Drosophila melanogaster: one gene and its partner. The protein of the gene in region 1 interacts with the protein of each later gene in a pairwise test. Each region holds a gene or a part of one and is shown on either strand. Other genes may lie near its edges.

Region 1 (2,790 bases):
ATACAGTTACATACATTCAACTTGGGGCACACGTTGGTTGCCATTGTTTGGCTTGTGCAACTGCCACGGCGTCAATCTGATTTATGCCACTTGACCGGACTGCCGCCCGTGTCCGCTGTCGTGCCGCCTTAGGAACCCAACGCTTTGCCGCTCGGACGCCTGCGCACTCGCCTCGCAGCGGAATATGAGAACTCCATGTCCAAGATCAATGCCAGCTTAGCGAGACTCAGATCTGCCATGAGCACGTTGCTCATGCCGGGCCATTGGGTATCCGGAATTTGAGGCGGGGCACTGTTAAATGACGGAGTGGGAGTTCACATGTTGCGCACCTGGTCACTGGGAATTTATGTATGCAAATATATTAGGAAGCACTAAACAACTTTACTTGCCAAATGCAAAAGTTATGAAATATTCGATATCTTACCACTTAGACCATTAAACTTTCTAAAATGAATATCATACAGAATATAAATTGAGCTATATATGACGTTTACGACGGACGAGAACATAAAGCGAATTTCTAGGGAAAAAACAATATAAACAGCTACGCCCATGATTGTAATGCTTGATAATGCACCTTTATTCAGTGCACCTGGCCACAGAAAAAGGGCTTAAATGCACTGGGCCATTTGCATACAACACAAAAACATAAGGAGAATATTAAATCTGCTATGTCTAAACCTTGTAGCCGACCAGGTGACGACGACCGATAACCTCGCCCATGTAGAACCAGGTAATCACCTCCACGGTGACCAGAACATTTAGCCAGGCCTCAGCGACTGTCACTTGGGAAAGTCCGGACTTCTTTAGCTGCCCCTTCATATCCTTTTTGGAGGCCAACTTGGCGGACTCAGCGGTCTGCTTCAGCTTTTGGAAATCAGCGGGCAGCGGCGGTGATAGCTCCACCTTGGCATACTTCCAGAATTCATCGAGCTGCGGACGTGCTGCCACAATCATTTCTGCGTAATACCATAAAATTACATTTTGGCCAGACTAGAAGTGCGCATCTTACTGTTTACTAGGGTCTTTGCCTTGGCAATCAATTGACTCATTTTGTTGGTAGAAAAATAAAACAAGAAATGCAAGTTTCTAAAAATTCGACAATTTTACGTTCTCGTACAAAGTTATTAAACGGAGTGCTGTCAAAAATGATTTGACTTTTCAGCAAAGGGTTCCTAGCTATTAGATTTTAGACATGTTAAAAGGCTACCACACACTGCACGATTTATGTCCTTGCCAAAAAATTCACAAAATTTGATACAATTTTATTTTATTTTTTTTTTAAGAGCTGGTTCATTTTGTATTCAGATGCAGTGCCTGGTAAATGTGTTTGGAAAATTTGCATAATTGCGGCGTGGTTGAAAACAACCTGCGCCAATTATTCGATTTGCGGGCGATAAACTGACCGATCATTACCAAACCGACAAGATGGTTATTACTAGAGCGCCCCGCCCACTTGCCAAAGCGAAACAATGGCTAAAAAGTAGAATAGAAAGACGGAGCACGCCCTAAAAAAATTGGCCAGCATTGTGTTTGCCGGTCATCGAAATGAAAATCTCAAAATGTGCAATAAAACGCTGGGTCTTTCGTCATCAGTTCAATGGAATTGGTTGGCCATAATGCATGTTTTAGGCCAGCCGCTTTGCTAATGAAGCTCTAATGGAGTCGAGGTGAAGGGCCCGTTCTTCAAATGAAAATTGCTCTTGTTTTTTTATTCGCATAGCTGATCTAATTGCGCCAGTTAGACGAGTATGACATTCCACCCAAGACCCGTTGCGGGCCCTATGCATAATCATATTGGGTGTGATTAATGGATCGATCGCATATATTTTTCGCTGCAGCTGTCGTCTAAGTGGTTTCAGTCTCACATTTGGCCAGTTTGACACTCTGACCCAAGTCTTTGGAAAAAAAAAAAACGTGGCCAGCTTTTTGATCTGCATGTCCATGACGATTTCAAGTTGAGACTTGAAATTCGCCGGGGGTTTAAGCCAAATGCCCCAAACATGGAAATGTAGTCCACCAATTCGTTTGGCTTTTTTTGCATTTTTTATTGTTTGCCAATGCTGACAGCCTTTGATTATATTTATTCTTGGGCGTTGCCCCGCCACAATACGAGAATTGCCTTCCTATTTTTGGCGGAGCAGCGGGCAGCGAAAACAAGGCAAAACTGCAGAGGCTAATTGTTTATTTAAGGCACTGCGAAAAATTCCAGTGCTCTGGAATTTGCGACTGAAAGTCACGGCAATGCTGACGTCACGGAGTCTTAAAATTCTTTTAGAAAATGGATGGATTTTAAAGACTTTTAAATTTAAACTAAATCTCATTTGAATATTTGAAATCATTTGCTCGAAATTTCTTGGCCAAAACCAATACTGTCTAAAATTGGTAAACATAAGTTTAGTATTTAGTATCTATAAATTTTTTATGATCAGCGAACTATTTTCTGGCCATAAATCGATTTTGAAATAGGTTACCAATATTTAATTGCTCTTTTTAAGGGTTTAAGCACTGATTGTTCGGGTAAATAAGCTAACAATCCATTCTAGAATGATTTTAACGGCTGACTAACTTTTTGGCATTTAAAGCTCAATTAATATTATTGCATTGATTTAGTCATTGCAGGGGCTAACTTCTGAGTCCGCCTTGGGGCAAAGTAATTGTTATTGCAGTGTAGGCACGCGACTTTATTTTACTTTAGTTTACTGTACACAAATTCCGTGCCCCATGCTGCAAGCCAAACACACACACACACACACACCAATACCAGCGATTTATATAATTGCAACAAAG
Region 2 (3,074 bases), 5.4 Mb from region 1:
AATATATTGTTTAAAACTATAACATCTGTTTTAATTGACTTCTCTTGGCTTCTCTTTGAAAAGTTTATAAATCTCTTTGAGCCAAAACAGCTCTTTGGTATAGCTCTTAGCCAAAAGTCGTAAGACGAAAAATAGAAGAAAATCGGGCATAAAGTAGAGACCAATTTAATTTGTTTGTTTTACTAATCAGCGGCACGTACTCGCACGTTTTTTGCGTCAAAGTCTTTAGTGCGGTCTTTAGCTGAATTCTGTTCGCCGATATTGGAGCTCTTTTTGTTGCCATCGCTGCTATTGGACGGTACGCTTTTGACCAGGTCGGGCGTATCGGCTGCCGTTTGGCTAAACAGCCCACGTTTAAACATGGCTCAGAGCGTGCTAATCAAGTGGCTACGAAAACAAAATTACGCGACCGACTGAGCAAAAGCCAGCTTTGACTTTGTCTCGTTTTTCATATATTTGTGGTTACCTTTCCAGGGGGTTCTTCGATTTTTGAAAGAGGTTTGTAACACTGAAAAATATACCCACAAGCTTAAGGTATATATGAAGAAAATTTAAACGATTAGATGTCATTTTTGGTCATAATTAAAATCGAGTTATTTTTACAACTTCAGTATTATCAATGATATTGATCATTGAAGCTTCGAAAAGGGTATTTAGACATTGGCTGAAAAATATTTATTTTCCTCCTCTTTTTTTTGATTGACTTTGGTTTTTATGTTATTTGGTCGCGTTGCGTTGAAGTTGGTTTTGGCTTTGGACTCCGGTGAAGCCAGGGGATTTGGGGCTAGGGCTGGGCCGTCGTTTGGGTACGCTTTGATGGCTTCTAGGTGAAGGTCATTGTGTGACTGAAATGTTAATTTGACTGACTGTCGTACTTTTATGCCGGAGTGCCTGGGCTATTTCAGTTGTATCTTTTTAATGGCACTTGCTAAGGTTCTATACACCTAGAAGTGGGTATTCATGTCGGCTTAAAAACCACTAAACAAAACTCAAAACCAACTTTGATTTGTTGCGCCGCTGGTATGCGGCGATTTTTAAATGACTGACATTTGCTAGCAAGTCGACATAATATACAAAAGCATCAGAAAAAGTTTGAAATTTTTTAAAATATACATTAATTATAGAATTGAAGTTGAGGATATTAAAATAATTAAAAACATATTTGTGGTTATTATTTCAGTTGCCAGCAGAGTTTTTATATTATATAAAGAATTTTCTGAAACGTTTTAGAAATGACTAAAAACGATCCGTGTAACAGCTTACTTTGATTTCAATGGCGCAGTCTTAGACTCCAATGATGGCGATGCAAATGAGCGACATATTTGCAGACAAGTCCACCAGCAATTCGGTGAATGGGCGGGCGTCTGCTTCCCCGGAGGATAATGAGCTGCAGCCCCCGTGAATCGAGTCTGGTGGCCCATCTAATGGTGTTGTTCGCATGGTGGTTAGATGGTTGAATGCTGCAGCTACAGCAGCAACGATTCAGCACCGTTTTGCTGATGCGGCACACTCCAATGCCATAAAAGGGCATTAGCCTCGTGAGTAGATTGCATGTTTTTACCACAGGTTTTCGTGGATGGGCTCCCGTCTTTTGGGGTGGCAAAGTGAGGTTGTACTGGCAGCTGAGTGCGCGCGCTTTGGAAAATTGAATAAAGTGCCGGAGGAGCCAACGAAGGATTGAGGCAACGAAGCGGAGTAAAGTGCTCGATGCTGGCAGCCAAGTCATTTAAGGGTTGCCGGCAGCACTCACATCGGCCTACAAGGAAAGATGAAATACAGTCGCTTTGCTAAGTTTATAATCCCTTATTTAGAGTACATTTTCTGACTACCCAGCTAACTAACACAACTCTAGTAACTGACAGATGATTGGCATGGCCGAGAATTTTCTCAACAGACATAGCAATTATTTGGAATTAATCATAGACTTATTTGCATGACTGTTGATCCGCAAGTGGCAACGTGTCGTATGCGCAATGCTTGCTCTTGCTGGGTCTGCGATGATTCAGAGGGGACTCTAGTACCGCCCAACGCATAAATATGAATGAGGAAATCGAAGCAGCTTGCCACTTGGGCTTAGCCCAGACTGGATTTTCCAGAATTCCATTGAACTTATTACTGACCGACACGATCCATATAAAAACGAAAGAAATTGCATCTGGCTATGCAGTTGCCGGCGGTGCATTGATCAGCATGATGAGCCGCATCATATCATTGCTTCTCCTATTCGGAATCATTTGTGCTGCTCTAATTGCCGGCCATCCGCACGACCTTATTGAAGATCCGGAAGGTACCAATGATGCTTTGGAGGAATCTGGCAGTGGATACAACAGTGCCGAAGAGTTCATGAATGCAATGGACGAGCTGATCAGACGCTGGCAGGAGAACGATGCAGCTCATGAGAACTCAACTGACTATCCAAGTCTTGATGACGATGAGACGACTTTGGATTTTATGGATATTACCACCGAACCGGCTACTTAATATGGAATTATTTAGTAGTGCTGTAATGCTAAGTCATGCTATCCTATTGTCTGTAAATAATCTAGTTCTTCAATAATAATTATTAAGGGAAATAAAAGAAAGTTTTTAGAAATTTTAAAATGAAATCAATCAAGAGAGAATCAAGAGATCTTCATTTTTTGATAATGAATGTTGCCTACTCCGCAATTTCGATTTTAAGTACGCATTAAATACTAGTCATAGATTGAATTTAATAGCTCGTTTAGTATATCAATTAAGCTTGTGGTAAGCTGTGTTGCTGTTAAGCTGGAATTTCCCGCACTCACCTCTGTCTAAAAGTATACATATCACCTTTAAACCAACCACTTAGAACTGCTGATAACCCAGGGCAAGGCTATAAAAGCCCAGCTCAAGAGCCGACTGACATTCAGTCAACTGTAGCCAGAGCTAATCGAAAGAAAAATGCAATCCATTCTCCGACTGCTGGTGCTGTTTGGATTAATCTATACCGCGATCGGTGCATCGGGTATATTTCAGAATATAAACCTCGGTGGCGAAGGAGGAAGAACACGATCTTCAGGTGGCAACTTGGACTGGAGCGATAGTGTTCACAG

What was found. The genes of interacting proteins can lie anywhere in the genome.
Region 2: the proteins of ATPsynGL (region 1) and CG16978 interact in a two-hybrid assay, tested with the Drosophila melanogaster proteins (one large-scale study listed by BioGRID).

What each region holds. Positions count from the first base shown.
Region 1 is NT_033779.5:7,745,643-7,748,432, reverse strand, and holds ATPsynGL (ATP synthase, subunit G-like), read right to left. Parts: upstream 1,159-2,790; 5' UTR 1,053-1,158; coding exon 1,013-1,052; intron 960-1,012; coding exon 676-959; 3' UTR 559-675; downstream 1-558.
Region 2 is NT_033779.5:13,142,714-13,145,787, reverse strand, and holds CG16978 (uncharacterized protein), read left to right. Parts: upstream 1-2,165; 5' UTR 2,166-2,190; coding exon 2,191-2,481; 3' UTR 2,482-2,574; downstream 2,575-3,074. Other genes in the region: CG9928 (uncharacterized protein), read left to right, coding at 2,923-3,074.